Linked DNA regions of Rhinolophus ferrumequinum. The protein of the gene in region 1 interacts with the protein of each later gene in a biochemical or structural test. Links are inferred from orthologs where the notes say so. Each region holds a gene or a part of one and is shown in the gene's direction. Other genes may lie near its edges.

What was found.
Region 2: the proteins of FZD7 (region 1) and DVL1 form a complex in vitro, tested with the Homo sapiens proteins (2 studies listed by BioGRID and IntAct, with this or other methods). The link is inferred for Rhinolophus ferrumequinum from reciprocal best matches to the Homo sapiens genes FZD7 and DVL1.

What each region holds. Positions count from the first base shown.
Region 1 is NC_046291.1:29,486,659-29,498,799, reverse strand, and holds FZD7 (frizzled-7), read left to right. Parts: upstream 1-6,480; 5' UTR 6,481-7,460; coding exon 7,461-9,185; 3' UTR 9,186-11,283; downstream 11,284-12,141. UniProt on the Homo sapiens protein: Receptor for Wnt proteins.
Region 2 is NC_046292.1:490,585-502,633, reverse strand, and holds the start of DVL1 (segment polarity protein dishevelled homolog DVL-1), read left to right. Parts: upstream 1-7,016; 5' UTR 7,017-7,091; coding exon 7,092-7,261; intron 7,262-12,049. Other genes in the region: MXRA8 (matrix remodeling-associated protein 8), read left to right, coding at 820-843, 961-1,266, 1,352-1,453, 1,605-2,075, 2,323-2,481, 2,665-2,704, 2,787-2,863, 2,978-3,058 and 1 more. UniProt on the Homo sapiens protein: Participates in Wnt signaling by binding to the cytoplasmic C-terminus of frizzled family members and transducing the Wnt signal to down-stream effectors. Plays a role both in canonical and non-canonical Wnt signaling.

The sequences.
Region 1 (12,141 bases):
TCTCCTTCTCTTACACACACACACACACAGACACACACACACACACACTACATTACCTCATTCTTCATTATGGTTCTCATTATTCTATCCTTCAGTTCAAAAGGTAATCAAGTAGAGTAAAGACCTTATGCAAGACTAAAGATATTCTACAAGACATCAGTGACACAACGCATTGCTTTGGAATACGAGTCTGGGTCAGTGGTCCTCAAACCTGATAATTCAAAAGAATCACCTAGAGAGCTTATAAAAATTAAATCCCCAAGTCCAACACCAGAGATTCTGACTCAAACTTCTGGGGGTAAAAAAATGTTTTTTAAACTCCTCAGGTGATTTTGATGACCATCCAGATTTGGGATCCACTGCTCCAGCTCCCATTTCATTCTTCTAGAAGTTTCCCTGGGAGCTTTCATTACTATGGTCTTGTTCCTGCAGCTTCTTCTGCTAGCTCTGTTGACTGTCATGGCCTGCCAAGATTCTCTGATGGGGAAGGCCTAATACACTGTCGAGTTTACCACCTGCACAGCGGGCTAGAGCAAAGCTCCCACATACCCTCATCTAGATTCCCACTGGTGCAGTTTCAGCAATGGGAATCATATTGTTCCTTGGAAAATTAGAAAAAATACAGGCTGGAAACCTGTATAGGTCTAATATTCATGGCATCATCACCAATCTGGACTTGATATTCCAAGCCTAGGAATTCTGGCGCTTCTTTCACTTTTGGAATGGCTTTTGATAAGACCCAGTAAAGGACAAAAATTAGTGATGTTCACCATGAAGACATCAAGCAGCAGTGCAGTATAAAGGCAAAAATGTTATATAGATCTGGGTTTTAGGCCAGGCTTTGCTACTATAAAAAGGAGCTTATAGCTGGAACCTCAAAGGATTGTTATAAAATTAGAGACAGCGTACCTAAAGCACCTGGTACCTAATAAATGGTAGTCATTCTATTAAAAATATTTTAAGATGCTCAAAATAATCTAAGCATCAATATTTTTGATGCCCAAAATAATCTGAAAAGAATAAATTCTGTGAACCCAGGCATGTGCTAGAGCCAGCTCTTAGGGGATTGTGAAAGCTGAGTATGTGCACCTTTTCCAAACTCCTAATTCAGTGACATTGTGTTGGCTTGAAATCAGCTATATTAGCAATATTTACACCATGGAAACTGGCAAATGTCGAGGGCTTTTTTGTCCTGGAGAACCGGTCATTAAATGTTTACCAGGATATCACTGTAAAAACTCACAACCTCAGCAAAAAGCCAAGGCCACAAAAAAATGCACCTACCGTGTTTCCCTGAAAATAAGACCTAACCAGAAAATAAGCCTTAGCATAATTTTCAGGATGCCATCCCCTGAACATAAGCACTAATGCATCTTTTGGAGCAAACATTAATATAAGACCCGGTCTTATTTTCGGGGAAACACAGTAACTTGGTCTTTCATTTTATCTCTATGATTTGCATCCATATAACCAAAGCAGGATTCTGCCCTCATGATTTTTTGCCTATAGATAACAAAGCATTTCGGTAAATATTATCTTATTCTCACAACACCCTGGGGGAACAAGGGAGGTTAAGTGACTTGCCTGAGTCCAGACAGAAAATCGATGGTGAAAAGCAGGACCAAACCTATCTGTACAAACCACCTCTGCCACCCTTCCTACACATCTGTACTGTACAGACTGGCATTAAAGGCATGGCTAGCAATTACCAACACGGCTTTCACCGCATAACCCAAACAGCCAGTCTCTTTCTACAGACTGTGGTCCCAGTGCTCTGTCTTTTGGGTATAGATTTGACTCCTCAAAATGGCCCACCCTCTGCACTTTGAGGTTTTTCCCTCAGGATTGCAGATGGTCTTTTATTAATCAACTTCCTCCGCGTTCTTTCTCCCTCTAGTCCAATGGCATGTGTTTGAAAAAAAGAGTTGGTCAGAGTTTGGGTTCTGTTCTGACTCTAAGAGAGGCAAGTGGCATCATAACCTATCAACATGTGTTTTTATTTGTGACCCTTTCTCTGGACTCCCCAAGGCCAGAGACCCAAGAGTTGTCTCTCTCTGTGGCCTCATCTCCATAATATTATGCTTTGAGAATGAATGAATTATCCTTTTGGTAAACCATCTCTAAAGTGGCTCCCAGAGATCCTTACCCTCCAATGGGGGGTTTTCATGCCCAGATGAAACCCCTGCTGCCCTTTGAGTGTGGGTAAACCTAATGACTTGTTTCTAATGAATAGAATATGGCAAACGTGATGGGATGTCACTTCCAAGATTAGGTTACAGAAAGACTATGACTTCCATCTTGACTGCCATGTTTTGTGCTTGCTCGCTCTCTCTCCCCTTCTCTTTCTCCCTCTGAGCACTTGCTGTGGAGGAGCAAGGTGCCATGTTTTACATGGCCTTAAGAGAAACCTACATGGCAAGGAACTGATGTCTGACCAACAACCAGTGAGAACCTGAGGCCTGCCAAAAGCCACGTGATGAGTTGGAAATGCATACTCTCAGGCCTGCCAATAGCCACATGAGTGAGTTTCCAATCGAACCTTGAGCTAACATAAGTCCCAAGACGCTGATTGTAGTCTCATGAGAGACCCCAAGCCAGAGGACCCACTAAGCAAACCGATTCCTGACACACAGAAACTGTGAATATTAAAATTTTGTTGTTTTAAGCTGTTAAATTTTGGGGTCATTTGTTATATGACAATAGATAATACAACCCTCAAACAACAAAGGAAATGGGAAAATGGGAAAACATTTTCACCTCTAGGTGTGCTAGACCCCACCCAGTAGAGGTGATTTACATCTCTACTGGGTGGGGCCAGCACACCTAACAGGACTTTAGCATGGTTCTCCCCTTATTCAATCCAGACATCTCTAACTTTCATAACACTTGAAAGTCTGCATTAGGGGTAAGAATGTTCCCATTTTAGGAGTGATCCAACACCCCAAACTAAATTGAGAAGAAGTCAACGGCAACCTGGCGGCTGGAAATTCCAAGTCCTTCATGTTATGAAGTCACAAATTGGTAAAAGAGAGGTCAGAAAGAGAAGTACATGCTAAAAGCAGCCCTTTCTGGTCTTGCATGAGTAATTCTTGCTGCTGAAGTTTCACTACAACCACAGGATTGTGGCACCATAAAGGTGGCCATTTTCAAATCTGGCCTGACATCAGAATGTAATTCAACTAAATGAACCTGGGACTTGGCCAAAATAAGTAGCATTTAAATAACTGGGGCCAATGAATAGCATCACTTTTCTGTGGGACCATATGACTATAATATGAAGAAATAAAAGCCTTTGTTGTTTTAAAGGGCAGGGATAATTGGAAGTTTTTGTAGTAGACAGTTACAAAAATTTCCACCCTTCATGCACCAAAGAAGATACCAGTTAGTGGCTTCAGGAGTTGGCTGTGGAAGGTGTTATTTGGAAAAGAAAATTAAATTGATCCTGGACACAATGTGAACCAATGTTACTATGTTTCTCATAAAGCCTAAAACAGAGTACTTAGCCCCTAAATTGTAAACTTACTTTTCTGATCTACTCCCTTTTATTACTTAGCTCCTTGAAATCATAGCATTCTTTATCAGGCAAGGCGTGGAAAGCTACCGTACCCCTCTCACAAACAGCAAATTCTGATTTTCCAGAATAATTCTGGAGTGGGTTTTTTAAAATAAAATAAAAAAATAAAACACTCTCCAATAAATTGGCCTTTGCATCTCTGTTTTTTTTGCACTTGTCTGCCTGGAGCAGACCAAGAAGGACTCCCATCTACGATATTTTCTGACCGGTATGGGTTTTGTTTTTAAAATATTTTATGTCTTTGGTAATTTTTTTTTAAATTTATTGGGGTGACAATTGTTAGTAAAATTACATAGATTTCAGGTGTACAATTCTGTATCACATCATCTATAAATTACATTGTGTGTTCACCACCCAGAGTCAGTTCTCCTTCCATCACCATATATTTGATCCCCCTTACCCTCATCTCCCACCCCCCAACCCCCTTACCCTCTGGTAACCACTAAATTACGTTCCCCAGATTAATTTTCAAAACCCCGTGGCCATCTTGTGGTTACTGATTGTTTTATAATCCCCTCACCTTCCCCCTTACCCCCACCCACCCCCACCCCGCCCATCTAGCAACCCTCAGTTTTTCCTCTTTGTCTCCAAAACTGTTTCTGATTAGTTCATTCACTTATTCTTTTCTTTAGATTCCGCATATATGTAAGATCATATGGTACTTATCTTTCTCTGTCTGACTTATTTCACTTAACATAATGTTCTCTAGGTCCATCTTTGGTAATTTTTTAAGGGCTCTCTTTTTTCTTCTAAATAATTATCCCTATTACCTAACATCAGGGAGTTGTCTGGTCTATAATATGAAGAGTAGAAGCTCATCAACTAAACTGGTTTTAGTTGTATTGGAGATACAGTATTTTATCCTGTCGGTTTTCATTTTAGTTGATGACAGTGCTTGCAATTTCTCCCTCAATAAGCAAAGGTTACTTAGATCGGGGACCTGATGAATAAGCATGAAAATTTGATTTAGAAAAGGAGGATATCCTGAAGCTCCCGGAGAGAAAAAAGGATTTTCAACCCCCCACCACTTTAAATGACAAAGCAAAGCAACAGCATTGTCTTTAAACAACATCTTTGAACACAACATCAATGTTCCCCAATGTTAGGTACGAAGAAGAATAATTTAGAAAGAAAAAGAGAAGCCCTTTAAAAAATGCAAGGAAAGAATGAAACATTTTTAAAGCAAGTATCACTCATCCTTCACATAGGAGACAGAAACCTCCAAAGAAAAAATATCGTCGCGGATGTGAGGGGGAAACGAATGCTTTGGAGGAAAATGATGAGGACTCCTGTTGAGGGACGGATGGAGAATGTGAGGGTCTGATGCCCAAATTGGCGCAAATGATTCAGACCTCCAGACCCATTAACAGGAGTGGGAAAGGACAAAGAACTGTGAATTGGAAGGAAAGATTTCCAGTAAATTTCAGTAATGAAAAATAAATAAAAGAAAAACAGAGGAAGCCGAAGTCTCTCATGGAAAGGAACTCAGTTAATTGTCTTAGATTTCAGGATCATTTTTTTCTTGCTGGAGAAGAGGCTCGCCGGGGGCAGCAGAGGAAGCAACTTCTGCAAACACGAAACCTGATCAGAAATCCCTCAGAGCTCCAGCGCTTGGAATTGAGACTGGCAGAAGGAAGGACTCAGCCAGGAGTAACGTTTTTTAAAGCATACGATTGCTCTGTGTGTGTGTGTGTGTGTGTGTGTGTGTGTGTGTGTGTGTGTGTGTGTGAAAGACGGAGAGAGAGAGAGAGTGAGAGATTTTTCCTTTCTCAACATGTCACTTTCCTGCATGGGAATTCCTGATATTCCTCGCTGTCGGTCGAGAAGGGAGAGGCGTCTCCACCCCTGAGCCGAGTAACTTCTGACCTCGTCGGGAGTAACCAGAGAACGCGCGGGAGCGCGGGGTTCCTTGAGCCCAGCGAAGATTTGACCGGGAACAAAAGAACGCTTGCCAATCAGAAAACGCTACCCAAGAACAAGGATAACCTTTCTTTGTTTTGAAAACTCTTTAATTAGCAAATGCCCTGGTTTCTAACACGCATTAAAACTTTTCTACCCATATTCCAAATAGAAGATCAAATTATTGCTTCTGCAACGAAGATGGGATCCCCAATGGCCACATGCCGAAGAACAAGGGAAATCAGGGCAATTGAAGACTCGCTTTAAACCGTACAGTGTTCTGGGCACTCGATCTCAGGTTACTTTTATAACCAACACCCACCCACCCACCCACCTCCGCCAACACTTAGTTTTCTTACAACCTCACTAAAGCTACACCAGATGCCTACTATACTCTGGGCCGTGCGCGCGGGCGGGGTAGCCTGGGGCCGGGGTGCCCGGCGCACGCAGCTCCCGGGCCCTCTCCCCTAGGAGGGGTTTGCTCTTCCTCCCGCCTTAAGTCTGCCCCCTCAGCACTGGACTCCGATTTCTCCTCGGACGCGGCCCCTCCTCCTTTTTACAACCAGGAGTGGAGGTGAGAGGGGACTATGGCCTCACGTGGTCTGTTTGGGTTTGGGAAAAGAAAAGCGATCCGCGAGGCACACCCCCTTTTTCGCCCATACCGAACCCCACATTTAGGATCTGAATACCAAAAAAACCGGGGCGAAAGCCAGCATTTTCAGCCCAAGCAGGGCTAACGTGACTCCGGGTCACGTCTCTCCGCTCTGGCGCTTCGCTATTCTCAGCTTCTCCCTGCAAAAGTCTATCCCGATGCGCCCTTCTGCTCAGGAATGTGTATTTTAGTATACCCGGAAGAGGAACAAATCTTTCAAGCAAACTCCCTTTCTGGTGCGTGTACCCCACACCCACCCCCTTCCACCCAACTCCGGAGCGAATAAAGGGTAAAAGTTTTTCTTAACTTTTCTCTCCCAGCCCCCTGCCCCTCCCCTCAGGAATCCGCCCAGAGCGTTGCAGACACCGCCTCTCAGGTTCCCTCGCCCGCCCCTTCCGACTTCTACCCAATCCGAAGGTGGTCACACAGAAAACAAAGGCTGCCATTGGGCCACCTAGAACTCGAGAGCCCGCCCCCAGAGTGGTTTGTGAATGGGGGGGAGCGGAGGGGGCGGGGCAGCCCGGAACACTGCAAGCTCGACGCTTCTTCTGGTGAGTTGCGAGGCTTCGAGGCGTTACTCTGCACTCCCTCCCGGCGGGCGGCGGCGGCGGTGGGCGCCTGGACTCACCGGCCAGGGCTGTGCGGAGCTGTAGAGGCCAGGCCCAGGCCGCTTGCACGGGGGCCTCACAGCTTCGGACACAGTGTAACTGGATTTCCAAAGAGAACTCGCTGAGCTCTTGGCTTCAAGGCGCCTATTGGACTCTGAGCGAGAATCAGCCGTTTGGCTGAAACTTGGGGCCGAGCTTTTGGAGCTGAAGAAGGAGCAGGGAGTGAAGGAGGCGGCGGCGAGCAGAGCCTCGAGGCGAGGAGGCGGAGCAGCACCACCGAGGCGGCGGCCTCGACTAGCAGGCGGCGGCGCCCGGCTCTCGCCTGCCGGGGGCTGGACTTGGTGTGGGGGACGCGCGCGTTACTGTGCGCTGTTAAGTCGAGAGACTTGGGCAAACTTCGAAGGGTAACCGGAGACGCTTGTTGCTCCCCGCTGCAAAAAAAGCCGCACCGTTACGTCGCGGCAGGAGAAGGCGGCGCCCCCGGCCCAAGCAGACGAATTTGGGCCCCCCGCTGCCTCGCGACTGCTGGGCGGAGGCGGCTGCGGCGCCCCCGCGGCGCGGGCACCCCAGTTTCTGAGCCCTCGGCTCCGCGCCGCCCACGGCCCGGCCCCGGCGCCGGGAGGACTCTAATGCGCCGGGCGCGGTGGCGCCTCCCGGGATCCAAGCCTCTCCGGGCTGCCTCGTCGCGCTCCTCCGGCTGAGAGCGCTGCTGCACCCGCGGCCGGCGATGCGGGGCCCTGGCGCGGCCGCGTCGCGCTCACCGGTGGGCCTATGCACCCTAGTGCTTTTGGTGCTGGGCGCGCTGCCCGCGGGCGCCCGGGCGCAACCGTACCACGGCGAGAAGGGCATCTCGGTGCCAGACCACGGCTTCTGCCAGCTCATCTCCATCCCGCTGTGCACGGACATCGCCTACAACCAGACCATCCTGCCCAACCTGCTGGGCCACACCAACCAAGAGGACGCGGGCCTCGAGGTGCACCAGTTCTACCCACTGGTGAAGGTGCAATGTTCTCCCGAGCTGCGCTTTTTCCTGTGCTCCATGTACGCACCCGTGTGCACTGTGCTGGATAAGGCCATCCCTCCGTGCCGCTCTCTCTGCGAGCGTGCCCGCCAGGGCTGCGAAGCGCTTATGAACAAATTCGGCTTCCAGTGGCCGGAGCGGCTGCGTTGCGAGAACTTCCCGGTGCACGGCGCCGGCGAGATCTGCGTGGGCCAGAACACGTCGGACGGATCCGGGGGCCCGGGCGGCGGCCCTACCGCCTACCCCACCGCAGCCTACATGCCCGACCTGCCTTTCACCGCGCCGCCCCCGGGGGCTGCTGATGGCAGGGGCCGTTCCGCGTTTCCCTTCTCGTGCCCCCGCCAGCTCAAGGTGCCCCCCTACCTGGGCTACCGCTTCCTGGGCGAGCGCGACTGCGGTGCCCCGTGCGAGCCGGGCCGCGCCAACGGCCTCATGTACTTTAAGGAGGAGGAGAGGCGTTTTGCTCGACTCTGGGTAGGTGTGTGGTCAGTGCTGTGCTGCGCCTCCACCCTCTTCACGGTTCTCACCTATCTAGTGGACATGCGGCGCTTCAGCTACCCCGAGCGGCCCATCATCTTCTTGTCGGGCTGCTACTTCATGGTGGCCGTGGCGCACGTGGCCGGTTTCCTGCTGGAGGACCGTGCAGTGTGCGTGGAGCGCTTCTCAGACGATGGCTACCGCACGGTGGCGCAGGGCACCAAAAAGGAGGGCTGCACCATCCTCTTCATGGTGCTCTACTTCTTCGGTATGGCCAGTTCCATCTGGTGGGTCATCCTGTCGCTCACTTGGTTCTTGGCGGCTGGCATGAAGTGGGGCCACGAGGCCATCGAGGCCAACTCTCAGTACTTCCACCTGGCCGCGTGGGCGGTGCCCGCCGTCAAGACCATCACCATTCTGGCCATGGGCCAGGTGGACGGGGACCTGCTCAGCGGGGTGTGCTACGTGGGCCTGTCCAGCGTGGACGCGCTGCGGGGCTTTGTGCTGGCGCCCCTATTTGTCTACCTCTTCATCGGCACGTCCTTCCTGCTGGCTGGCTTCGTGTCGCTCTTCCGCATCCGCACCATCATGAAGCACGACGGCACCAAGACCGAGAAGCTGGAGAAGCTCATGGTTCGCATCGGCGTCTTCAGCGTGCTCTACACCGTGCCGGCCACCATTGTCCTAGCCTGTTACTTCTACGAGCAGGCCTTCCGCGAACACTGGGAGCGCACCTGGCTCCTACAGACTTGCAAGAGCTACGCGGTACCCTGCCCGCCCGGCCACTTCCCGCCCATGAGTCCCGACTTCACCGTCTTCATGATCAAGTACCTGATGACCATGATCGTGGGCATCACCACTGGCTTCTGGATCTGGTCCGGCAAGACCCTGCAGTCGTGGCGCCGCTTCTACCACAGACTCAGCCACAGCAGTAAGGGGGAGACTGCGGTATGAGCCCTGGTCCTCTCTCACTCTCCCTCCCCCCCCCCACTCCTAGTAGGGAGAAAGGCAAGGTAGGGAAAGAACTTTTGAGTGAGGAGGTTTGTTTCTGTAACCTCCTCCCCCTCCAATGAGAAGTGACCTGGAAGTGAAAACATATATGTAGATGTGGGACGAGGGGTTGGTTTGGAAAGGAGGCCTGGGTGGAAAGACGGTTTGGATGAAAAGACTTGGCAAATCAAAGACTCGCAGAATAATAATGATGATGATAAAAATGACGTTAATCTTGTACGGTACCGATTGACCTGGGCTCATGGAGAAGACTGAGACCAGCAGAGATTTCTGTGAGTTCTTCCTGGCTCCGGCTGAACTGGGTGGGACTGGGAGCGATTCCCCTGCTGCAAGACAAGTGGACTGTCCTCACTCCTGTGAGGCTCGGGTGAAAGGTACAGCTCTGTCTGCGGCGGCCGCTTTGTTGGAAAAAGGGAGGACTCCCTGCGGTGTCCTTGTCAAGCGGTGGTCAAACCATAATCTCTTTTCACTGGGGCCAAACTGGAGCCCAGATGGGTTAATTTCCAGGGTCAGACATTACACTCTCTCCTCCCCAACCCCCTCCCGCCGGTTTTTCTTCCCCTACTCCTTTCAAGTCTTGTAAAATAAGCATTTGGAAGACTTGGGAGGCCTGCCTCCTAGAATCCTAAAAGTAAGGGTGCAAAAGAAATGAAGATAGCGTTTGGAGATGATGCAAAGGAGTTGAGCAGTAGGTATTTCGGCTACTTTTTGTATTTTCTGGACAAAGCATGAGAAAGAAAGAAGGGTGTTTTATTCGGTTTAATACCCTGAAAAGAAGTGATGACTTGTTGCTTTTCAAAACAGGAATGCATTTTTCCCCTTGTCTTTGTTGTAAGAGACAAAAGAGGAAACAAAAGTGTCTCTCTGTGGAAAGGCATAACTGTGAAGACAGCAACTTCTGTTGGCAAAGTAGCACAAATCTAAGGTTTCCCTTTGGATATTTGGTTGAGGTAAACATTCCTTTTTAAGGAAAAGTGAAAGGCAGTGGGCTTCCAAACCCTGGTTGGTCAGAGGTTCTGACTTGGCTAAAGGAAATGCAAGGGGTTTTGTTGTGCTGTTTTACATAAATTCAATTCAGAACACATGATCCAATGGGCTCTGTTAAGATGTTCAGGGAAATCTCTCCCTTCATTTTTTTTCCTTCCTGTAAACCTGCATTCAGGTTTTCTTTGTATTGTTTTCCTCCAATTTGAATCCTTCAAAATAAAAGGAAGAGCATAATGCCTTCAGCTTCCATAATACAGGAAAGTTAAAGAACCACTTTGTCCTGCTTTCTTAGTTCCATAAATCCATTTATAAAACATCATGTGTATGCTGACCCTGTCATTGTGTCAGTGGGTGGGGAGGTGACCTGTAGAAATGATTGTGAATGAAGAGGACAGTTAAAACCATAGCCGCCCCCCTCCTTGTAAGGAAAGTCATTAAAAGGAGGTGAACTTCAAAGTAATTTTGGAGTTCTTTGAAATGTGCTGGATGACTTAAATTTATTAATCTTAAATCATGTACTTTTTTTTTCTAAAATAGAACTCTGATTCTTTTGCATAATAGTCTAAAGCTGAGCAGAGAATCATGGGAGCTAACCTTTCCTCCACCTTTGACACCACCCTCCAAACTTGCACCACTGTCCTATTTCTCAAAACAGTTTTTAAATGCTGTTTGAAACAGTTTTTAAATTATAGAGGGTACTGTCAGGAGTACAAGTTACTTTATGTATGTAATGTTCAGTTGAGTGGAGCTGCTTTTTATATTAAGGTTAACACTGACCTTGTGTTTCTTAAACCTCCAAAACTGTCTCATTTGTCAAATTTTAAGAACTCCCACCACACAGTTTTTTTGGCATCTTTTGTGTTGTATCTCTTGCATGTGAAATTTGTAAAATAGAGACAAGTGCAGTATGTATATTTTGTAAATCTCCCATTTTTGTAAGAAAATATATATTGTATTTATACATTTTTACTTTGGATTTTTGTTTTGTTTTGCCTTTAAAAGTCTACAAGGAAGCCCCACTTTATCACATGTACAGATCACAAATAAATTTTTTTAATACAAAGTGAACGTTTATTTAGTTTTCAGTGCATATATATAATATATAGTAATATATATATACACATATATATTTAAGTATATATATGTGTAATATATAGTAATATATATACACACATATATATATTTATATATACATATATATATATACTTAAATATATGTATATTTAAGCCAAAGAACTGAACTTTGTGTTATGGAAAGAGGTATAGAGGGATACCATTGGATGGATCCCTCATAGACGAAGAGGTCATATATTATTGAGGTCTTTTTTCCTTGCGTTTTGAAACACAGTGTAATGAATGCCTTAACTGTCCCTTAATTTTTTTTCTGTTGTTGCTGCTTCCTGCCTCCCTCCACACCACCTACCACACACTCCCTTAAACCTTTTCACTTCCTGCTTTGGATAACTTACTGAAGGTACAGAATAAGCATCTCTTTTAGAGAGGTGCTATCTGATCTATGTTTTTACTACCTTTCAGAGATGAAGTCCATATTTGAAAGACGACTGGAAGATATTTTTGTTCTGCTTTTCTGTTTTCTGCTTTTTTTGTTGTTGTTTGTTTTTTTAACTGACTGGTGATTTTGTATTCTAATGAACCTAATCTAAATTGTCAATACCTAAGTCCTTGGGTTCAGGTCATTTATACCTAAGAAAGTCAATAGATGATTCCAGATAATAGCAGGGGCCTTGCCTATGGAGGCTTCTCAGCTATAAGATTCACTCTACCTTCTAGGTCAACTGAACCAGATGTCAAGCGGCAGTGAAGGTGGCAGTGACTCAGCAGCTGTGGCAGTAATAGACGCCATGACTGACCCCAGGGTGGCCTCAGAAGCCACTGAAGCTATTCTTTCCTC
Region 2 (12,049 bases), on another chromosome or scaffold:
CAGAGCTACTGGGGTCCCTCAGTCCTGCTCTGGGAAGCCCCTCAGCCTGCGCTTTTCCCAGTTGTCAGGAGGGGAGTAGGTTGGGGATTGTGGGGGGCCTGGGAACAGTGAGGCCTGCACGGTCTGTTCCAGTTCCCCCTGGCTCCCAGGCCCCTGAGCCCGCCCCCAGGGCTGGACTGCTGACCCGGCACATTCCTTCTGCCCTGGGCACTCAGCCACATCTCTGGAGCAGGAACTTGGCTTGTGGGGTGGCAGATGGTAGGGTTATCCCCCACATCCAGCTTCCTTGTGCTTCAGACCAACGGGGCTGCAGCCCTGGGTGAGGTGGGGCTCCAGCAGGTAGAGGACCATCAAGGGCTCAGGTGGGGTGGCCCTCAGCAGGTGAATTCCACATCGGGAATACACGTGCAGGAGCCCCCACAACCAGCCTCCCTCGGGCATCAGACTCTGGCAGCCTTGCTGCAGTGATGGTGATGGTGGCCACCATTCCTGAGGCTGGCCTTTGGTGACAAGCATGCATTCCAGAGCCGCCTGTGGGAGGTGCTAACCCTGGTCCTACCACTCACTTCCAAAAGGACAGGCTCGTTCCTGCAGCCCAGCAGGTGGCTGAGGGTTAAGTGGGAGGCGTGCCTGCCTCAGGAGGGGCTACAGGAGACCCCATCTGTGTGCTCCTGGCTTCTCTGGCTTTATCTCCACCCACTTAGTGGGTGTCATTATCACCCACTTCAGGGAGGACCAAAGAAGGGACTAGGGGGCCAAGCCCCTCCCCTGTATGGGTGGCCCCCTGCCCCGTGTGACTCACTCTTCCTCTCCTTCTAGGCTCTGTGGTCCTTCTGTCTTCAGGTTAGTGAGCACCCTCCCCCCTTGGAACCACGACAGATCCCTTCCCATCCGGCCATCCCACCCTGTACCTGACCCCTTGGGTCCCACCCGTCCCCCAGTGACTCCCCTCCCCACCAGGGCCATCTGGGTCCTCGACAGCGGGCAGCTCCGTGGTGTCCGAGTCCGCAGTGAGCTGGGCAGCTGGCGCCCGGGCCCTGCTGCGCTGCCAGAGCCCGCGCATGGTATGGACCCAAGACCGGCTGCACGACCGCCAGCGCGTGGTGCACTGGGACCTCAGCGGCGGCCCCGCCGGCGGCCCCGCACGTCGACTTGTGGACATGTACTCGGCGGGCGAGCAGCGCGTGTACGAGCCGCGCGACCGCGGCCGCCTCCTGCTGTCGCCCTCCGCCTTCCACGACGGCAACTTCTCGCTGATCATCCGCGGTATGGGACCTTGAACCGCGGTGGGGGCTCGGGGGCTGGGCCGGCGGCCGCGGAGCTCATGGTTGGTTTCCACGCGGGTGTGCAGCGGTCGGGGAGACAGACGAGGGGCTGTACACCTGTAACCTGCACCACCATTACTGCCACCTCTATGAAACCCTGGCCATCCGCCTGGAGGTCACTGACAACCGTGAGTGCGCCCCTCCCCCCCGGACTCCACCCCCGCCTGTCCTCACCTATCCCCGCCACTGTGGACGCCCCGCTCCTCGCTCCCTCCCCCGACCCGCAGTCCTAGCTGCCCCCCCTGACCCCTCCCCCCGCTGACCGACCTGCGCCCCCAGCCCGGGTCGCCGGCGCGCACTGGGACGGCGAGAAGGAGGTGCTGGTGGTGGAGCGCGGCGCGCCCGCGCTGCTGACTTGTGTGAACCGCGCTCACGTGTGGACCGACCGGCACCTGGAGGAGGCGCAGCAGGTGGTGCATTGGGACCGGCAGCCGCCCGGGGTCCCGCACGACCGCGCCGACCGCTTGCTCGACCTGTACGCGTCGGGCGAGCGTCGCGCCTACGGGCCACCCTTCTTGCGCGACCGCGTGGCGGTGGAGGCGGACGCTTTTGCGCGCGGCGACTTCTCGCTGCGCATCGACCAGCTGGAGCCGGCCGACGAGGGCACCTATTCCTGCCACCTGCATCACCACTACTGCGGCCTGCACGAGCGTCGCGTCTTCCACCTGAAAGTCACTGAGCCGGCCCCCGAGCCGCCCCCGCGGGACTCCCCAGGCAACGGCTCCAGCCACAGCAGCGCCCCCGCCCCAGGTGCAGGAGGCCGCCTTGGGCTCCTGGGGACGGCCTAGGGGCTGGGGACGGCGAGGCCCCGCTCCTCTCTGTCCCCCATAGGGGACGAGGATGTTAGCGGAGGGGAGGCGCCCCCCCCGCCCCCCCCCGCTGAGGCTGCCTGTGTTCCCGAGCCACGTGGCGCAGCAGGGGGGGCCTGCGTGGGGGTGCACCGGGTGGTCCGCTGCGCAGCACCCTCCCTGACGCCGCCCCTACACGGCCCTCGCAGACCCCACGCTAGCACGTGGCCGCAGCGTCATCAACGTCATAGTCCCGGAGAGTCGAGCTCACTTCTTCCAGCAGCTGGGCTACGTGCTGGCTACCCTGCTGCTCTTCATCCTGCTGCTCATCACGGTCATCCTGGCCACCCGGCAGCGCCGCCGTGGAGGTGAGCCAGCGCGAGCGCAGCGGGGACGCCGGCACTGGGAAGCCTTTCCGGATCGGAGGCGGGGCTTGGGGTGCGCTGCCGGAGCCGAGGGCCAGCAGGGCGCCCAATGAGCCTCGGTGCCGGGAGGTTCCTCAGAGCTGGGGAGGGGGCGAGACTACCCCCAACACGAGTCTCCCTCCCCAGGTTACGAATACTCAGACAAGAAGTCGGGGAAATCAAAGGGGTGAGTGCCCCCTCCCGGCTGTCCTAGGGGGCCAGGCCCCACCCCATCCGCCGCTCTAACCTCCCCCCACCCTCCCCTCCAGGAAGGACGTGAACATGGCAGAGTTTGCTGTGGTCACAGGGGACCAGGCTTTTTACAGGAGTGAGGATATCCAACTAGGTGAGGGCCTCCTACACACACACCAAGGCTCCGAGTGAGGTGCCTGGGCCTGGGCCTGGGCTGGGGGAGGTACATCTTGAGGGGGCGGCTCACCCTGCTCTCTCCCTGCACCAGATTACAAAAACAACATCCTGAAGGAAAGGGCTGAGCTGGCTCACAGCCCTCTGCCGGCTAAGAACATCGACTTGGACAGAGGTGAGTGGCTGGGAGGGAGACTGCCCCTGCCCGTCAGAGCCAAGCCCATGCCCCTCTCCACCCACTCTCAGAAGGCACCAGCCAGCCCCGCGGGCAGGAATCCCCTGCCACCTGACTGCTGCAGAAACCCTGGGGCCATCCTGCCAGATGTCCGCCTTGTATCCCTCCTTACAAAGGAGAGGCAGAGGGCAGCCACCCACCTGTTCCCTTGGTTTCCAGAGTTCAGGAAGGAGTACTGCAAATAAAGTGATTGGGGCTCCTGGCTGGCTGGCAGCTCCTGGCCAGCAGCACATCCTCCTGACTGACCATCATGCAGCTCACCTGGCCCCCCTTTTGGCGGCTGGTCCCGCCCATCCTGGAACTTTGGCCTGATCAGGTGCAGAGCAAGGTTGCCTCCAGACATCTCTCTAGGGAGCCACCCTCATCCTCCAAGCTACAGTGGGCTCCTGGGACTCTGCCAAGCATTGGGGCTGCACCGGCTGTGCAGGCACTCCCTGCTGGCCCTGTCTCCCCCTCTCCCCCCACACAACCTAGCCCTCAGGCTCTGCAGGCTTCTGCCCTATGGGAGAGCCCCGCCTCTGCAGGGGCAGGCCAGGAGACACTCTAGGAGTGGGGATCAGCCTCAGGGCTGGCACGCCTCCCTTCTTCTCCCCTTCTTGTGGGGAGCTGTCCTCCCCAGCCAGGCTGCCATCAGCTCTGCATGGGGACCTGAGGACTGCACACCCCCAGCCCTCGGTGCTGTGTCCGGCCACCTGGGGCTACCCTGGGGCCCTTTCTCTGCTTCCCAGCCTGCTCTAGCCTCCTTTCCTAAAAGCTGTCTTGACAGTCACTGGGCTCCTTGTGACTTTTGGCCCCTCCCTGGGCTGGAGTCTGGGGCTGCGTCATTTTTTGGCTTCTGTTTTATCTGAGGATGGGGGAGGGCTGATAATGGTTCTCAAGTGGCCTGTGTGGCCACTGCCAACACCCCCATTTACTCCTCCTGGTAACTTACTGCCTTCACAATAAAGACCATACCTGGTTTTTAGACTTGGTCCAGGTATACCTCTGCTGCTCCCTCTCTACTTCCAGGGCAGAGCTGGGCCATGGGACCCCAAAGCTGTCCTTCGCCTGAACTCCCACTCTCACTGCCCAGTTCTTGGAGTGGGGGTCTGGGTGCTGGTGTCCTTGGAAGAGCGGAGTTGCAGCCAGTTTCTCACCACTTACTTTCAGGTCGTCTCCTGAGGGTTTGTCTAGACGTGGGGGAGGGGCGCATGTTGGTGGACATGGGGACAGAGGAGGGCAGTGTTAATTCAGTCCCCTGAGAAGCAGATGCCAAGATGGGACTAGATATGTAAAGATGCAGGTGGAGGTAGCAGGAGGAGGCAGGAACACCTGCAGACAGGTGACACCCCCAATGGAGGGGGTGGGAAGGGGCTGTGGGAGGAGGAAGCCTGTGTCCCCAATCCTGACCCCATCCTCCAGAGCCCTCCCAGGACAGCAGCAGGCAGGAAAGGGTGACTGTCACCCTATGTTGGAAAACCCTTGTATGAAGAGGCAGCAGCCACCCACACAGGTTGGCATGCAAGCTCCCACTTTGGGGAAATGAAAACCCTGGAGTCATTTTCATGAAGGCATAGTGTCAATAAAGTCATAAAAGGAAGTAAAGTCACCAGCTTTATTACTTAGTAGATCCCAGAAACGGGGGTGGGAGGTGAGTTGGGGGAAGGCCAGCCCTCCATCCCAGGTCACCAGCCAGCAGGAGATGAGAGCAGGGTAGAAGCACCTCTTACTTACATGGTGGTTGGGGGGGCGGTCACTAATTTTTCAGCAGCTCCACTCTTAGTGGTTATTTTAGAAGGTGCCTGGGAAAAGCCGGCCAGGAATCTAAGCTCGAGTCCTACTCTGAGTCCAGACTGGTGTGAGTAGGATTGTCACATGAAATGCCGGGACAGCTACTCAAGTAGCTGTTTGCTCACACCCTCTCTCCAAGGACCCACAGTGACAAGGCAAGAAGGCACGCTGGCTTGGGGGCTGTGGCTTGTATGAGAATGTGCCTTCCTCCCAGCCCAGTGACTCCTGGCCCCACAATGCCCACCACTGCCACGGGCAAGGTCCCTCCTGTAAGGGCTCCGGCTCTGTCCACAAACTCACCCCTCCTTGCAGAGCCTGGCCTGACCACAGCGGTATCAGCTGGGATTGGCTACCAGCTTCTCTCCTGTGACTTGGACTGTCAGGTGGAGGCGAGAAGCTCAGGGGCATCAGATGCCCTGGATCTGTGTGACCAGCAGCCATTTGTGTCTGGTCTGGGGGGTGCTGGTCTCCCATGAGCTCTCAGGGCACGCATTGTCTCCCTCTTTCCCTGGACACACAGCAGAGAGCCGTGGTGGACCCTCCGTCTAAGGCTGCCCTGCCTGGCTTCCTCAGATTACCTCCGGGCAAACCGAGACCTAAGGGAGAAGGCCCAGGCTTTGCAGAATGGGTGCCAACCTCACAGAGCCCTGTCCGCTCTCCCCATCAGAGCCTAGGGGAATGGAGGGCAGGACCCCTGGCCTAGGCTGGCCTGGGGTTGGTCCCCAGCCTGGGCTCAGGGACTTAGGTCCAAACTTTGGATCCTCCAGTCACTGGTGGACTGGTGGGGTCTTTTCCTGCGGTGGCCCACTGCCTGAGGATGGTCATGACCAGGCATAGGGGCGAGTCCCAGGCTCCAGCCATCTTCAAGGTGGGTGCTGGGAAAGGGTCACAGGGCATCACAACCCCCCATCCCCATCACCTCGGGTCCCATCCTAGGGACGCTCCTCTTGTCACTCGCCAGCGTAGGACTCCCTCTGGTGGCCTCCAGTCTTCCTCTTGGGGTAAGGGGGAGGGAGAGCCACTCACCCCAGTGGAGGGCTTGACCCTTCACAGCCTGAAGGGCGTGGCTTCAGATCTCTCTCGACCCATGGAGGATCCCAGGCTGATTTGATTGACAGCGGCCGGGGAAGAAAAAAATGCCATTACCTGCTACCTGAAGCACCATGCCTGGGCACCTCTGTGCACACGTACCCGCACACAGCTGTGTGCTGACCCCTGTTATCTTGGCATCACATACACCCGCACTCCCCACTCCACCGCCCATTCACTTGGCCCGTGTTTCTCTGAGCCCCCGTGGGTCCCAGCAGAGGGCGCGCGATGTCGGAGCTGGCGCGGGGGCGCAAAGCGACCAGGTGTCCTCGGATCCGGGAGGCGACACAGTGTCCTCAGCTTCCTCCGAGGCCCCCTGCAGCCCGATGATGTGACCAGGAAGCTGCGACTAGGAAGCCTCCGGCCTCTGAGCACCCACAGACCCGGGAGCCCTTGCGAGGGGGTGGAGGGCCGGAACCCCGCCGAACCACACTCCCTGGAGGGCTCCCGGCGGGGCGGGGCGGGGGCCGGGGGGGTTCCCTTCTGACAGCTGGGGGCGCGAAGTGCAGGTGGGTCTCCACCCAACTCCCCGGGGGGCGCACCCCTGTCCGTCCAACAGCCCAGCGGGGCTGCGGCCCGCGAGTGTTGTGGGCGCCCCCGAACGCCCCGCCGCGGGGCTCGGGACTCAGGGAAAGCGCGCTGGGGGGCCGCGCGCGGGTGCACGCACCTTCGTCCCGTGCACCGTGGTCCCACCCCCCACGCACGCCCCGCCCCCCGCGCTTGCGCAGCCCCGCCCCGAGCCGCAGGCGGCCCGGTGACGTCAGGCGCCGCTGAGCTCTCGGGCGCCCCCCGCGGGCCGCGCGCTTAGCCGGGCGCCGGGCGGTCCCTGGAACTGCGCGGCCCGAGGGGGGCGGCAGGGCGCACGGACGCGGCCGGGCCTCGCGCGCTCCCTGCCTGCGTCCCGGGCCAGGGGCGGATGGGCGGCCGCGGGCCGCGGGTGAGCAGCCGGAGCGCGCGCAGAGCCGGGGGCGGCGGGGCGGGCGGGGCCGGGGTGGCCGGGCCGGGAGCGGCAGGCGGGCGGGGCGCAGGCCAGCGGCGGGGAGGCGCCCGCGTCCGAGCCCCGGGCCGGGCCTGAGCGCCGCGCAGGCCCCGCGCCCGCCGCCGTCGCCGCGCCATGGCGGAGACCAAGATCATCTATCACATGGACGAGGAGGAGACGCCGTACCTGGTCAAGCTGCCCGTGGCGCCCGAGCGCGTCACGCTGGCCGACTTCAAGAACGTGCTCAGCAACCGGCCGGTGCACGCCTACAAATTCTTCTTCAAGTCCATGGACCAGGACTTCGGGTCAGTGGGCCGCGCGCGGGGTCCGCACTTGTCTGCGCACGGACAGGGCTTTAGGGATCCTGGGGCTGCGAACCGGGACGTACCTTCGCGCCCTGCTGTGGTGTGTGTCCACCTGTCTGCGCGCTGAGCTGGGGACGCATGGGCCCAGACTGCCCCCAGCAGCCTGAGAGCTAGGGACGGTCGTCTGGCGAGTGTCCTGGCGTCTCTGCCCACCCTGGGCCTGGTCCTATGTGCCTGAGTGTGTGTAACCGGCGGGTCAAGGTCTGTGTCCCAGAGCCTCCCTGCAGTCCCACCTTGGCATCTTTCAGACTCAGGGCCCTGCTCCTTCCTGTGGAGGTCAGGTGCTTAAGGCTGACCTGGAGGGCTTGTGATTTATGGGGACTGGAGCCAGAGGTGTGTCACTGGGGAAGGGCTGGGGCTGGACTCCCAGCCACCCAGTGGGTACCCTAGTTAGCATGGGGGAAAAGAGGAAATGAGGTGATTTAGGACAGGGGCACAGACCTGTCTGCTGGGATCTGCAGAAGTTTCTGGAAGCTCAGGAAGCCTTCCGGCCCTCTCCAGTGTACTGCGGATAGGGCAGAGGTCAAGGGTCACTCTGCCAACCCCTGCCCTGGGGCTGCTTGCCTTTAGGCCTCTGTTCCTGCCAGGCCACACAGCACTTGGAGCAGCGTCGGGGTCAGCATCCCTGGGTCTGCTGTCTGCCTGCCTCGGTGGCTGTCTGCTCAGGGGACTTCCCACTTGCACTGGGCTGGGCCTCGGGGACTGTGAGCACCAGAGCTGGAGGCCGCTCTCTGCTCCAGGCCTGACCCAGCGCAGCCACCGGTAACCTGAGTCCCAGGCTCTGCAGTGCTGGGGAGGGGGCGCCCGAGGGCCCAGCAGGTGTGCCTGGCTGCCGTCAGGCGGGTAGGCAGCCGTCAGGCGGGTAGGCAGCCGTGCCCTTGTGTGTGGCTGCGTCTTGGGACTTTGACATTGAGGCCATTTCCTGGATTCTGTGGTTTGCATGGGCACTGGGTGGCCCAGGTCAGGTCTGGCTGGTGCTACTCTGCAACTCTCAGGGACCCGAGGGACATTTGGACGACTGAACTCTCTTGGGCCCCCCCTCCCCAAGGAGAGGCAGAGGGGAGGGTGTGTCCCTGGCAGGCTGGGAAGGCTGGACTCCCCTCCCCCTCCCTGCCCTGCCTGCTGGCCTTCCTGCTGGGCTCTGAAGGTGGGGCCCTGTTGGGGGGGGGGGTCTGGTCCAGCCTCCCTGCCCTCCTGGGCAGTCTCACGAAGTCCCTGCTCCTCTGGGTCTGGGTTGCTTTGACTGTGATTATTGGCTGTGTGAAAGGGGACTTTCGTTTTTAACTTAGCTTATTATTTTAACAAAAGTTACCAAAGTCACACATGCTGTCTGTCACAAACCGAAGCCAGCAGGGTGCTTGTGTCTGTGTCCCAGAGCCTCCCTGCAGTCCCACCTTGGCATATTTCAGATTCAGGGCCCTGCTCCTTCCTATGGAGGTCCCCTAGACCCCCAGCTTGCTGCCCTCAGAACATGCTCTGGTGCATCCCAAGAGGCCTGCTGCTTCTCTGGTGCCTGCTAGCCACTGTGGGTTGCCCACGAGCTGCAGAGACCCCCACCCACATGCACTCCCAGCGGAGGCTGTGCCTATTGGTGGATTTGTAGGGCCTGTGAGTGTTCTGGCCAAGGAGGCAGGTGGACAGGCCAGTGTGAGTCTTGGAACAGGCCTAGAGTTCTTTAGACTTTCTGGAAATGGCTGGGATGTGGGAGGGAATAGCACTGGGTGGGAGGCAGTGGGCAGCTGTGAGGTCCAGGTGGGCCAGCACAGGGGATGGATTGGGGTGACGTTGGAAGGCGCAGTCACCCCAAGTCACAGAATGGGGGAGGTTTACCTTGTTTTCTCCCTGGATCTCTGGCTGGTGGCCGGGTTGCCTCAGGAACGGGAGGACCCCCACAGCTGCCTCCTTTCTCTCCTCGCCTGAGATCTGTCTGCAGAGCTCCAAGTTCTAAATCCCAGAGTCATTTATTCAGTGGGATAAACCCCTTCTGGGAGGTGTGACCCATTACTCATACTTATTGCAAAGGACACCTAGGGGCCTTGTGGACGGAGTGGAGGTGGGGGGAGGGAGGGCAGCTCCCGCTGGACTGGAGCAGTGCCCCCCACCCCATGACAGTGTGGCCTCAGATCAGGGGCTGTGAGCCTGGGCCTCTTGCTCTGGCCACCCCCACCCCACTGTGGGCTGTGCCCTGAGCTGCCTGAGCTTCTGTTCCTGACCACAGCTGACCACCTGGTAAGGGAAGCAGGAGTCTGCGGTGGGGCCACGTGTGCTGGACCAGGACCCACTCCCCACCAGTGTCTTTGGCCAAGTGGGTAGAGGGTCCTGTGCCCCCCTTTTCCCATGCAGGTCATGGCTGTTCTGACCCAGCAAAGCTGGGCAGGGTCTCTGGGCCTATGCTGGGCTGGCCCTGAGCTGCGAGTGTGTGTTTGGTGAGTGGTGGTATAGGGAGGGACCTGAGCCCAGTTCATGGGCTGTGAGGTGGAAGGTGAGGGTGTTGGGCTCACCGCTCCCTCTCCCAGGGCTGCCGGGCTGGCCTTGGCACTTAGCTCTCCTGGCCGTGGCCCAGACCACTCCATCTCTGGGCCACATGGCTTGTGGGCCCTGGCTGGTGCGGTGCGGGGATTGCGAGGCAGGGGGTGGGCGCTTGGCCTGGCTGAGTCTCCCTCTGCCTTCCGCAGCTGTGCCATCTGGGGTCAGTGGCCCCCGGAAGTGTTGGTCACCCCCCAGAGCTGTGGCAGGGTGTGGAGGACTGAGCCCCCCTTGTCCTGGAGCCTGCAGCGTCTGAGCCTGGGGAGGGCTCTTTGAGGAATTGGGGGACAGCCCTTTTTCCCCTGTTGTGTGCCAGCTCTCTCTGCCAACTCCCTGTTGTGTGGTGGTGGGGGGGTACCCTCTGCCTCTGGGCACACACTTAGGGCCGTCCCACGGAGAAGGACTGGCTGTGGAGTGCTGTGGCCGTGGGAGCCCCTCGGTCCTCCTGGGCCCTGGGCTGTGCTCAGCTCCAAGGGCCCTGCTTGCAGCAGATTCCTCACCAGGGCGAGTCTGCGGGGGTGGTAGGCGGGGCGGGGCGGCCACAAGTCTGAGGTTAAGTGGGATCTTGCCAGGAATTCTGAGGTCGGGGCAAGATGCCACCAGAGGTGCCTGGGTGGCCTTCTCCGAGGGTCAGTGGAGACTGCTCCCGAGGTCTGCTCTCCCACCCGGTGAGGCCGGCCCAGGAGGCAGCCTCAGAGTGGCTAGGAGGAGTTCCCCCCGACCCCCAAGCCGACCTTGTCCCTCCCCCAGGCTTCTAGGCCAAAAGTGGGCAGCGTCTTGCATCCCACGGAGAGCCTATGCCCTTATCCTGGGGCTCTGGCACCTGTCCCTGCGTCCCCTCTGTCCTGGCCTCGCGGGGCTGGGCCTGTGGTGCCCCCCGCGCCCCACCCGCAGTGGAAGACAGCATGCTCTGTTGTGTGCTGTGGGACGCAGGCTCCTCAGGCTGGGGGGAGGGGCCGGGGAAGCAGGACCTCTGGGGACTGCCTGGGGGGCTCAGCGGCCTCAGGCAGCCCTGGGTGATGGGTCGTCTTCAGGCCTTGGCTGGGTGAAAGCAGGGGCTAGCCTGGGGAGCCAGGCAGGCCCTGCAGCATGGGAGTTCGGGATGCTCTTCTGGCCCCCTGTGTGTGAGTCTGAAAGGACGGGAGCTTGGATGTGGAAGGGAGGCCTCAGGTGGGGCCATCTGGGCTGTGTGGGGACCAGGGCCCTCCTGGGTCTCTGTGGCTGCCATCACGCAGAGATGGTGCTCTCAGCCCACTGACCCCCTGTCTGTCAGCTGCAGCGGGCAGAGTCCCAGGTGTCCCCCGCCACCTCAGGTCCTCTGTGGTGACAACCTCGCGTGTCCTTGGCCGAGTTCTGGATGGGGTCACGGCCTGCCCTGGAAGCTCAGCTCTGCAGAGCTGTAGTGTGGATATGGGGTCTGCCCCTCACAGGGGAGCAGGGGTCCAGAGAGGCGACCTTTTCTGCCAGTGGGGGTGTCCACCTTATTGGTGCATGTGGGGCTGGCCCTGGGAGGTGTCTAAGGGACTGCCGCAGGAGCCTGGCAGGGGTCCTCTCCCCCAGGCTGGCCCTGTCTCTTCCATCCACTCTGGGGCCCCCTCCAGAAGACTGGGTGAACTGAGGCCTTGCTCCCTGGCTGGGAGTGTGGGGTGCTGGCCAAACTGAGGCTGCTTCCTTCCTGGTCTTCTGCCTCCCGTTTCTCCGCTGGCCCAAGTCTCAGGCTTGGAAATCCCCCTGTGCTGGGCAGGGCTGGGCTCCAGGGAGCACGGTGTCACGGTCCCCTCCCGCTGCAGCCTCCAGCCCAGCCTGCCCTTCTCCCTGGGCCTCCAGGAGGCCGCAGAGACACAGCCCCTCCACAGCTGCTCCTGTGAGCTGTGCTGGGTGCTTACCCCTGCCTTTGAACCTGAAACCTGGACCCCCACAGCTGTTTCTGACCCCAGGGTCGTCAGTCTGCTTCTCAGTCAGGGAGCCTGGCCCCGTGCATCCTGCCTTCCCTACCCCGCACGCCCACCTGACCAGGGCAGCTTTAAAAACCTGGGCTGTGCTGGGCAGTGACCTCCGGGGCTAACTTCTCAGGGGGCCCAGCTGTCCTCCCAGGTCTTGAGTTGAGCTGGTACAGCCCGTGGGGGTCTGCTTGTCTCCCTGGCTGGGCAGGTGGCCTGCCCTCAGAGTGTGTGTGTGTGTGTGTGTGTGTGTGTGTGTGTG